3 linked regions of the Sus scrofa genome follow. The protein of the gene in region 2 purifies or fractionates together with the protein of the main gene of each other region. This does not show direct contact. Links are inferred from orthologs where the notes say so. Each region holds a gene or a part of one and is shown on either strand. Other genes may lie near its edges. The genes, in order: GIT2, ARHGEF7 and PAK2.

The links.
Region 1: the proteins of ARHGEF7 (region 2) and GIT2 purify together in Homo sapiens (affinity purification with mass spectrometry; 6 studies listed by BioGRID and IntAct, counting the BioPlex papers as one, with this or other methods). This does not show direct contact. The link is inferred for Sus scrofa from reciprocal best matches to the Homo sapiens genes ARHGEF7 and GIT2.
Region 3: the proteins of ARHGEF7 (region 2) and PAK2 purify together in Homo sapiens (co-immunoprecipitation; 5 studies listed by BioGRID and IntAct, with this or other methods). This does not show direct contact. The link is inferred for Sus scrofa from reciprocal best matches to the Homo sapiens genes ARHGEF7 and PAK2.

The regions. Positions count from the first base shown.
Region 1 is NC_010456.5:40,998,955-41,002,602, reverse strand, and holds part of GIT2 (ARF GTPase-activating protein GIT2), read right to left. Parts: intron 2,044-3,648; coding exon 1,910-2,043; intron 265-1,909; coding exon 152-264; intron 1-151. UniProt on the Homo sapiens protein: GTPase-activating protein for ADP ribosylation factor family members, including ARF1.
Region 2 is NC_010453.5:77,426,148-77,430,267, forward strand, and holds the start of ARHGEF7 (rho guanine nucleotide exchange factor 7), read left to right. Parts: upstream 1-1,204; 5' UTR 1,205-1,428; coding exon 1,429-1,593; intron 1,594-4,120. UniProt on the Homo sapiens protein: Acts as a RAC1 guanine nucleotide exchange factor (GEF) and can induce membrane ruffling. Functions in cell migration, attachment and cell spreading. Promotes targeting of RAC1 to focal adhesions. May function as a positive regulator of apoptosis.
Region 3 is NC_010455.5:133,310,388-133,314,035, forward strand, and holds part of PAK2 (serine/threonine-protein kinase PAK 2), read right to left. Parts: intron 1,958-3,648; coding exon 1,850-1,957; intron 67-1,849; coding exon 1-66. UniProt on the Homo sapiens protein: Serine/threonine protein kinase that plays a role in a variety of different signaling pathways including cytoskeleton regulation, cell motility, cell cycle progression, apoptosis or proliferation.

The sequences.
Region 1 (3,648 bases), on a different chromosome or scaffold from region 2:
CCTGCATTCCCAGTAGCAAAGAGTTCAATGCACAACTGGGATGACCACCTCCTGGGCCGCCCCTGTGGAGGCTGGTCAAAAACAGCTGCACTCTTTCCAGTGGGCCCCATGGGTTACAAAGAAATAGAGTATTTATAAACATTCCACTCACTGTACTTTATCCTGTGGATTAGCTTTGCGTCTTCCACTCAAAATAGAGGCAGGGTCCAGCAAAGAATGCTCCCATATAGAATTAGCACCGTTATTATATAAGGTTTCAACCATCTAAAACCAAGCAGTATAAAATCTTATTTTAATTTCTTTTCACAAATATCCAGTGGAAATGAATAACTAAACTAGAAACACAAAGCCCCATTACAAACAACAGCATGACTGGGATATCACGCACATTAGTATTTTCTGAATTTAGAATGAGAAAGATGAACCTGTATGCAGGATTCAGGTTTGACCAGTAGGACAGCTAAATACTTATAGAGGTTTGATTATGTTTTCTCATAGATGATGAAAAAAGAGTACTTTGACATATTAGGGCAGTATTTCCCAAGCCTGAGCACTCAAATACTGTTTTCAAGCTACTTAAAAACCTAGGTACCATCTAGACTATCCACTTATTATTTTTCTTTAAACCCACTTACTTTCTAAAACTTTCCCTAGCAATTATACTTTGATGTGCTAGTTATAGTTTTATGCAACCATTAAAATACATATTTGAGTATTACCTACATCTAACTTGAGTAACACTGGTGTTCACATGCCACCTTCTGGGAACTGCTTTAGGGTCAACTCTGGCTTTTTTTTTTTTTTTTTTTTTGGCCTCCCCTTGACATAGGGAGCTCCCAGGCCAGGGATCAGATCTAACCCACAGCAGCAAACTAAGCTGCAGCTGTGGCAATGCCAGTTCCTTAACCCACTGTGCCGGGCTTGGACCTGAGTCCCAGCAGTCCCAAGCTGCTGCCTATTCCAATGCACCACAGCAGGAGCTCCAACTCTGGCATTTTAAACTACTCATTTCTGGATTTTATTCAGATCTATAATATAATCTGTACTCTGTATAATCTGGGAGCAGTAAACATCCATTTTCACATGAGAATGAGCTGTTAGAAACTTCTTAGCAAAAGTTATTAATAAGCCGTATCGCCCAGTTTCAATTCAAAGCATGACTCCTGACATTACTCCTCGTTTTTTACATTAGCGGAGATATCTGTCACATCAGAGATCCAAGCTCACTTGCTCCGATCCTTTGGTTCATATAGGGAAGTTTAAGGGATGTGTTGTGCAGCTGCCACAGATTCAGTAAAATATGTCCTCAAGACAAATGAAGGCGAAACACATGCTTAAGTCTGAGTTCCAACAGAACTTGAAGAATGTGTACCCCAAAATAGAAGTACAGGTGACATGACAATGGACCCCCAAATAAAACAAAGAGCCCACTTAACACTTAGCAGGGTGTTAGACATTCAATCCAGACATAACTTAATTGTCTCTAACTAGTTATAAGAACTTTAAGAAAACCTAAATCAGATGTTTCAGAAATTTCTGAGGAATCCCAGTCCATGCTTCCATCAAAGCAGGAAACAATGAAAAGTTTCAAAGGGCAGTCACTTTAAGAAACATTGATCATGGTACGTGGAAAAGATGGGCTTTAAAAACAACTTCTGGTGACATTTTAGAAAGTCAGCAATGAAACATAAGCAAGAAATTTTAATGACTGCCTGTAACTGAGTTTTTGGGACAAGATTTACATTAGGAGGGGAAAAAGAATCTTAAATGATGAATTTAATACTTGTATATAGCATTGATAAGCATGGCACTTCTATTCAATTATGATTTAGAAGTATAATTTTAGTTGCTAAAACATTGAGCCCTAAAGATGTAAATTACAAACATGAGAAGAATTCTTATTCTTTACCTGAAGCAATGTTGGAGGCCATGGTGTGTGTTTGAGATGCCTTACTTGAGAGATATGGCGCCCTAGACTCCGATGGACACTGCAGCACTCGTCACATATAAAAGTTCCCCTATTTACTGATGCCCAGGAAGGATCTGGAAAGAAGAATGAAATCAGTGGCAAGGATACCAAGTGGTTGCTATACCGCCAGATGGCAAAAGATGACTGAGATTTGGTTTTTCAGAAAAACAGGACATCTTTGTTGTTTTAGTATGCTAGTCAGCATATCAAGCTGGTGAGCCTGTCTGAAGATAACCCCTGCCTTGGCTGGGGGCACAAATCTACTGAGACTGAAAACCTGATTACAGCCCTAAATAAGCACTTCTCTCCTCTCTGGTTCAAGGCCACAATCTGACACCCTAATATGATCTATCATCACAGATGTGTGCTCTTTCATTCAGTGTAAAAGAAGCAAGTTGAGAGCATTCACATGAATCATTTTGAATCCATCTCCACAAATGGCAAGATAACATACCTGTGTCAGTGACAATCCGCAGAGCGACATGTGAAGAGAGCAGTAAAAAGATGGCTACCCTAACACATGCTACATATCTACCTGCCTCTGGGCTTAGCAGAAAGCTGCAAGCATACATGACTATAAAACTGTTCAACTGCTGTGGTTCTGAAGACAGACTAAGAAACCTAGACTCCTCCGTAAGAAATGTGCTATGATATCCATTAGTAGTTGTAAATAAACTACTGAGTCCGATCTCACAGCTGATCTGAAGTAACAGAAGTTGTAAAAACAGCAGCCTCACAGAGGCAAAGATGTAAAATACAAATGAGTGATTTTTTTTTCTGGCCTCGCTCAAGGCATGCAAATGTTCCCAGGCCAGGGATAGAACCCACACCATAGCAGTGAAAATGCCAGATCTTTAACTTGCTGAGCCACCAGGGACCTCCCTAGAGTAATACTTTTGGTGTGCATATAATACTTTTTTCCTATGAAGTCCTACAGAGCTTCATTAGACATCCTTTGAAACAAGGAATAATTCACACTTGGTAAGCAGTATGAATAATTCACACTGGGGAAGTAAACTAGACACTTAGAAATTCAAAATAAAGACAGACCTTCTACATTTCATCAGACTCACAATGGAGTGACAATAGTTGCCGCTCAAGCTGCCTGGCTTAAGGGTTATATTTAAAAATTCTTCAATGTCCACAAAAATCTCGAAAATGCATGTACACCATCTTTACCATTTTTAACAGTTTATTCAAACCCTTTCTAGCCATAAAATGAAAAGTTATGGGATTTCAATCAAAGACAAATCAGGAGTCAGAGAGTGTAGTGGTTAAGAGGGATGGCTCTGGAGACAAGCAGTCCAGGGTTTGAACCCCAACTCTGCCACTTCTTGCACAATGATCTCAGGCAAGTTATTTCTTTTTGAGAGTCCTCATTATGGATCAAATTGGAGGAACAACACAATCCAGGGTAGTGAGGATATAAAGAACAAGCAAAATTCCTTGCATATAGGAAGTACTCCGTAATGGTAGCTGTTACAACGTTTCTAAATCATTTTGGTAAGTACCATTCAAATATTTTCAAAAGCCAACGAAATTCATGACCATTGGAAAAAGGTTTTGACTGTTAATACTTAAAACACTGACTGTTTCACACAAATACTGTATTACTATAGTGAAAAATCTCAGGGGAATTTTCAGGTAGTTGAACTCACAGAAGGATATGAACTAGATTC
Region 2 (4,120 bases):
GCGAATGCTGTCTTAAATTGCCCCGGGCAGTCATAGCCCGCAAACAGGCAAAGTGCACACTGGGTCCCTCCAAGGAGAGACGCTCCCTTCCTTAGAAGATGGTGTGTGTCAGCCCTCCTCTGAAGAAGTTTTTTCGTGGCTTAGCAGTTGGGCGGCTGAGCTCTTCAGCTCTGGCCCATTCGGACGCAGCCAGGTCTCTGACTGAGACCTCTTGCTCAGGGCCAGTCCAGCCAGGTTGCTTGTTTGGACTGAGTGAGCTGTCCTCACCGTCCTTCCTCCGGGATCATCTGCCCAGATCCAGTTCAGGCTCTGCTGTGTTCCTGACCTTCCTCCCACAGTGTCTGAAACAGCGCCATCAAGTTAAAGCCGAGTGGCTCCAAGGCTTCCGGTCGGGGAGAGTGGGACCACCGCATCCCGGCCGGTGAGGTCACGCACGCGGACGGGCCTCCCAGCAGAGGGCACGCGTGACCCCGGCCGCGCCACGCTCCGGGGCGTCCCTGTCCCCAAGGATGGCAGCAGCCTCAGGAAAATCAGTTCCTCCCCGAATTAGGCCCATCTGGTCACAGATTTAATTATCGTTGTGTTCGGTAATTATTGGCTTGCAAGGTAGCTGAGAGAAGCAAACGTCTCGTTTTCAGCTCCCCCCGCCCCCAACCTCTTGGGGAAAAAAAAAAAAAAAAAACCTGGCAAAAATAACGTTCATGAATTAGAAGATAAAGGATTCCGGGGCTTCCGAGGAGGGAAGAGGCGGCGGAAGGGCCCGACGGCGAGAGGAGCCTGGCTGGGCTCTCGCCTCAGAGGGGGCTGCGCTGGGGACCCGCCGGGCGCCAACGGCTACGGGCGCGCGCGGCCCGGAGGGTAGGAGGCCCGGCGAGCCCTCCCCGGCCGGCGGGCTGTCGCCTCCTGGAGGTCACCGGGCCCTTGGGGCGGGGGCCCAGCACCCGGCGGCGCAGGTGGGGACGCGCGCGCACAGCCGGCCCGGGTGCGGAGGGCGCACGGCGGCGGGCCCGGGCGGGCGCGGGGGCGCGTGTGCGGCAGCCGGGTGCCGGCGCGGCCGGGGGTCGGGGGGCCGGGAGGCCGGGGGCCGGGGCGCGGGGCCGCTCCAGCGCGGCGTCTTTCTTCTCCTCGCAGTGATGTCATCGGCGGCAGCGGCTGGCAGCCGGGAGGCGGCGGCGGGGGCGGCGCCGGGCGGCCGCCGCAGGTTCATGTGCATCTAATGAAAAGGCACTTGACAGTCGGCCAGGACGCACGCGAGGGAGCGCGAGCCGGCCGGACCGCGGCGCCGCCCGAGCCAATCGCCGTCGCCGGCCTCTCCATGGGCGAGCAGGAGGAGGGGGCGGTGGGCGCAGCCGGCCGGGCCGCGGCCGCTCCGAGGTGAACCGCGCCGAGACGGGCTCGCGGCGCGGGGAGGCCGGGCGCGCCGCCGCTATGAATTCCGCCGAGCAGACCGTTACGTGGCTCATTACCTTGGGGGTGCTGGAGTCGCCCAAGAAAACCATCTCGGACCCGGAGGGCTTCCTGCAAGCGTCTCTGAAGGATGGGGTGGTCCTCTGCAGGCTGCTGGAGCGCCTGCTCCCCGGGACCATCGAGAAAGTGAGTGCCCCCCGGCCCGCGCCCCCGCGGCGGACAGGCCCGGGCGCTGGGAGGCCCGGCGGGAGGAGTCCGGGCGGTGGGAGCCCCGGGCGGTGGGAGGCCTCGCGCCCCACCTGGCCCCCGCCGCGGCCCGGGATGCGCGGAGACGCTCGGGCGCAGGGTCGCCGGCGCCGGCACCTGGTGGCCGCGCGGGCCGGGAGAGCGCCGGGCGCCGCGGAGCCCACGCGCCTCCTTTGTGCGCGGACCCGGGAACGCGGCCCGCGCGGGGGGCGCGCTGGCGGCGCGAGGACCCGGTGGCGGGATCCCGCTCGGGGCGCCATTGTGTGCGGTGGCCGCCGGGGAGGGGGCCGGGCCGGGTTCAAGGGGAACGGCCGGGGGGAGGCCCGGAGGGAAGGGGAGCGCTCCGCTCTGCCCCGCCCGGAGGAGGAGTCGCCCCTCTCCGCGACCCGAGCCGAAAACCAACCGCTCCAGCGCCGCGCACAGCTGCCTCGCAGGCTTTGTTTGAACAGCTTTTGTTGGTGGTACCGTGTGAGAGTTTCGCCCTCTGTTTAACTGACCGATTGCGGTGCGTTTTTAAAAGATGCATTTATCAATAGCCGAGGGTGGGCTGTGAAATGATTTGCTGCCCTCCCCGCGGAACAATTCCCCTGTCCCCAAGCCCAGATGGCAGGCGCAGGAAAGCCCCGGCGTTCTTCAAGTCTGGCATAAGATCCTAGATTTCATTTTCAGGTTCCTACCTGATTTTAAACAGAGCCCCTAGTCCTGGAGACGTCTCTTCTATTGCCTGGTGGTTTCCTCGGGGCTGGAGTGTGAACCTTGACCACAACTCTGCGAGGGATTCAAGTTTGCTTCCTCCGGCTCCGTTGACTAAGTAGGGGCGAGCGGGTAGAGCGGCGGATCCCTGTACTTCAAAAACACTGCAATTCTATCCTAATTTTTTTTTTTTGCCAATACATAATCTTAATATCAGCAGTTACTTAAATGGTTTAAATGTAGAAATTAAAGTGCAGACTAATGAGAAATACTATTTAACTTTGAAAAATGGAGTATATCGGCCCAGCAGCACAGTATTAATTTGCTAATAATAAAATGTTAATTAGGTGACTTTAAAAAGTAAAATGTTTAATCTTTTTAAGTTTGCTCATGTTCTGGCATGGCATTTTAAAGGTCAGAAAAGATTTTATGTGATATGAGTTGTGTATACATATGAGTTTTAGGTATTTTCTTACTTGCAACATATTTCGGAAAGCAGAATCTGCATTTTAGGATGAATAGCCCTGGTCTGTCTGTCCAGGAAATAAAAATGGTGCTTCTAAATGAAGCTGATGTCACAATAAAATTATGATTGAAGATAGGAATAAGGAGCAGGAGCTAACTTTGAAGGCACAGAATACTTGGTTGTTATCTGGATATCAGGACCTCTAGTAATAAAAGACAGATGTTGAAACGCATTGAAAATGCAGGCTAACTTTACCAAAATGGGCTTATGTAAAAAAAATGGTTCCATTCCAAGAGTGAAGCTTTGAGAAACTTCAGAGGCTATTTGACCAAAACCTGTCATTGTTGATGCATGTGTTATTTGGCATATTCGCTGCGTGCCTATTGATTGGCAGACCTCAATAATCACTTTCTTTTAAATTGTTGAACGGTTTTCTTAGAAAACCATAGCATTCCTTTCACCTCGGAAACAACAAAGAGAGGAGTGAATAACATGTTTAATGCGCAGAAGCCCAACGGAAACAACCCAACATGTCCTAAAACTGGTCATTTGGAAACTTCTTACAGTGCAGCCAACCTTTTACCCCCCCGCCCCACCCCCCGCCCCTGACTTGTTTGTCTCAGAGGGACAATCTCAATGAAAGTTCAATATCAAAGTAGCACATTCTCTGTGGTACAAAGGTAGGTTTGGGGAGTAAAATATTAGCCATTCTCTGCCTCTAAAAACCCCTGGGTTTTAGAAGTCTCACGAGCCCGTTCCATTTCCTCAGAAGAGTATTTATTTGAACTTTCTGATGTTTGTATATGCACAGCAGATAGCGTTTGCCAGAAAGCACACGCGGTGAACAGCTTTTGCTCGAATGTTGGAATGTTAGTCTGAGGATGTTTTTCCTTCAAAAGGAACATTTGGGAACCTCACTGAGTATTCCTGTGGACGCGAAAGGATCTGAACTTGACCTCAGTTTGCCACATCAACACACAGGAGACTGGTTATCGGGGTGCAGGCAGCCTGCAACTTAACCTTTGCAAATGCACAAAATTTAAAACAAACCCTCAGGCTGGGGAGAGCATAGCGCAGAATCGGGAGAAGGTTCGGGGTGGCGCAGGGCTCCCATGTGCCTTTTATTAAGAAAGCATGTCCTGGTAGGTCTTGTGCTCGATGTTGGCTTGTTCTGTCTTAGGGCCGGCAAGAGGCTGGAGGACTAAACGGGAAGTTCGTCTCGGTTCAGACGGTTCTGCTCATTTTAAAAAGCATTCTGTTGAGGTTCCCTGCTTTCTTCGGGGGCAGGGGGTCCGACAGGACAAGAGG
Region 3 (3,648 bases), on a different chromosome or scaffold from region 2:
ACCACCATCAACATTAGAATCACCAACTGGAGCAGGAATAGGATCAATTACAGACCGTGTATAAATCTGCAGAGAGAAAGAATTAATTAGAGTTGAAGAACAGTATTTTTAGTTATTCTTACTGGCACACTATTTAGTTCTTTGATTTTTGCCAACAACAAAGTAATCTGTCTCTTGTGTTCAAAAGAATGAGAATAAGATTTTCAGATTTGTCTTATAAAAGACTGGGAGCTAAGAGGAATAAACGTGAAACATTTTTCTTTGGTACATCACATAAGTATTTTTTCTTTCTTTTTTTCTTTTTAGGGCTGCACCTGTGGCATATGGAAGTTCCCAGGCTAGGGGTCAAATTAGAGCTGCAGCTGCCGGCCTACACCACAGCCACAGCAATGCTGGATCTTTAACCCACTGAGCAGGGTCAGAGATTGAACCCACATCCTCCTGGATAGTAGTCGGGTTCATTACCACTGAGCCACAATGGGAACTCCTCCACTTATGTATTTTAAAAGTCTCTGTAGCAAAGCAGATGATCTGTGAACGAAATAAATCTAAGTACAATCAGATCTAAAATAACATAATAAAAAAGAAGCAAAAAACATAGTACAAGTTTGAAAATGTTTTTTCTAAAAGAGAGAAATACAGGAGTTCCTATCGTGGCTCAGTGGTTAACGAATCCAACTAGGAATCATGAGGTTTCGGGTTTGATCCCTGGCCTTGCTCAGTGGGTTAAGGATCCGGCGTTGCCGTGAGCTGTGGTGTAGGTTGCAGACAAGGCTCGGATCCCGAGTTGCTGTGGCTGTGGTGTAGGCCGTGGCTACAACTCCGATTGGACCCCTAGCCTGGGAACCTCCATATGCTGCGAGAGCAGCCCAAGAAATGCCAAAAAATAGACAAAATAAAATAAAATAAAAGAGAGAAATACAGAGCAAAATAATGGAAATCTTGATGTTGAACTATCATTAATTTCCATAAAACTTTTTATATAAATATAATTTCCACCATTTTATTTCAAACAGCCATTTCTAAGTAGTAAAGAAAACACAGCTCTCTATCACTAGATGAGGGTCCAATGGCAGTCCTCCGAGCCCTACTTGTCTATTGTGCCAACACCTCACCATACTCTGCTGCTTTTATTTGTATCAGAACAAGGCAGACTCTTTCTGTCTCTATCTAAGGTTGTTATTGTTAAAATTCTCCCGTAGCTGTTAGAAATTTCATTGAGCAGCCTTGTGAAGGCTTTGAGAAAAATGTAAAATGGGAGATCAAATATATAATTTGGATAAAAGGTAAGCTCCAAGTTTTAGATACAGTACTTATCTGTACTGAGATAAAGGTAGAGAAATAGATGAACTCCCTCGAAAAGATGGTGTAATAGAGAAAGAAAAAACAATGAGAGAAGTATTTTAACTTTTTCTTTTTTTTGCTTTTTAGGGCCACACCCAGGCCATATGGAAGTTCCCAGACTAGGGGTCCAATCAGAGTTACAGCTGCCGGTCTACGCCACAGTCATAGCCACATCAGAGCTGAGCCGCATTTGCAACCTACACCATAGCTCACTGCAATGCAGGATCCTTACCACCCTGGGCGAGGCCAGGGATCAAACCTGCAACCTCATGGTTCCTGGTCGGACTGGATTCATTTCTGCTGAGCCATAACAGGAACTCCTATTTTAACTTTTAAAGAAAACTAGTTTTTTGATGACTAGTGTTTAGGTAAATTTCTCATACTGAAATATTTTAAGTCTGAAGACTTCTTAGAAATTAATCACTGGAATTCGAATACAGACAGCTGTTGTTAAAAACATACAGGTACGGACACGCACAATCTAATTCACTAATCAGAAACTCACTGATTTTGTATGATCTGGTCGTGGGGCAATAACAGGAGGAGCAGTCTCTTCATCATCATCGTCTTCCTCTGTTACTACTGCTGACGTTTCCGATCCCTTGGTATGCAGCTGCATTTATCACATGAGCAAAGGAAGGAGGACAAGTCAAGTATTAGGATACTTTAGAATATGACTACCTCTCCTTTTTAACATACCTGAAAAAACTATTTAATAGCTCACTTCAAAACAATAGAACCTCACCAGTACTAATCTTATAATCATTTTAAAAAGTAAAGGCAATTGTATACATTATAGAAAAGTAAGTTTATAAAGCAGATATATACAGTAAATACCAGTATTCTTTTTTTCTTTTTTCTTTTGCTTTTTAGGGCCACACTCATAGCATATGGAAGTTCCCAGGCTAGGCATCGAATTGGAGCTACAGCTAACAGCCGACACCACAGTCATAGCAACGTGGGATCCAGGATCCGAGCCTCATCTGTGACCTGCACCACAGCTCACGGCAATACCTGATCCCTGATCCATTAAGCAAGGTCAGGGACAGAACCCACACCCTCATGGATACTAGTCAGATTCATTTCTGATATTCCACAATGGGAACTCCCCAATAACAGGTTTTTTTTGTTTTGTTTTGTTTTCTAAGGCCATACATGAGGTCTATGGAAGTTCTCAGGCTGGGGGCTGAATTGGAGCTGTAGCTGCCTGTCTACACCACAGCTATGTAGGATCTGAGCAGCATCTGTGACTTACACCACAGTTCATGGCAACACCAGATCCTTAACGCACTGAGTGAGGCCACGGATCAAACCTGCGTCCTCATGGATACTAGTTGGGTTCGTTGCCACTGAGCCACGCCAAGAACTCCCTAATACCAGTATTATTAAGAGAGAATTCATGCCTTTTAACTAGTTCAAAAATAAACAATCACTTTATTTTTTAAGTCCAAAACCAAAAATCTTCTGGGCTCTGTATAAGTTAGAGTCATTCTCAGTTATTTAAAACAGCCAGACTAGAGTTCCCTGGTGGCCTAATGGTTAAGGATCCAGCATTGTCACTTCTGCAGAGCAGGTTCAACTCCTGGCTCATGAACTTCCACATGCCACAAGTGCAGCCAAAACAAAAACCAGCCAGATTCACCAACAAAGTTGTGGCTAAAGAAGGAAAAGAGAAAGGCATTATCCTTTTTTAAGTTTTTTGGCTGCCCCCCACAGCTGTGGCAACACCAGATCCTTAACCCACTGCACCAGAGCAGGAACTCCAAGGCATCATCCTTTATACAGAGTTTATTATATGACAGGTGTGCGCTAGGTAGGTATTTTACGTGATATTATATGCAGTCAAATAACTCCAGGAGATTGTTTCCTCCAAATTAAGGAATGGAAAATAAAACAACTGTTTGCAGGAAGTATTTGTGCTTACATGATAACTTAAAATTTCAGACAACTCTGAAGATTTTAACAGGCTTCCATTATTCAGTATATTTCCATAGTCTATATTCAGTAGGATGATGCTACAGGAGAATGTTGGCAAGTTCTTTTTTTTTCTTTTTAGGCCGCACCCACGGCATATGGAGGTTCCCAGGCTAGGGGTCAAATCAGAGCTACAGCTGCCAGCCACAGCCACAGCCACAGCCAAGTGGGATCTCACCTGCGTCTGCGACCTATACCATAGCTCATGGCAATGCCAGATCCTTAACCCACTGAGTGAGACCAGGGATCAAACCTTCGTCCTCATGGATACTAGTCAGATTCATTTCCACTGAGCCTGTTGGCAAGTTCTTTGTATTCATGTTTATATAT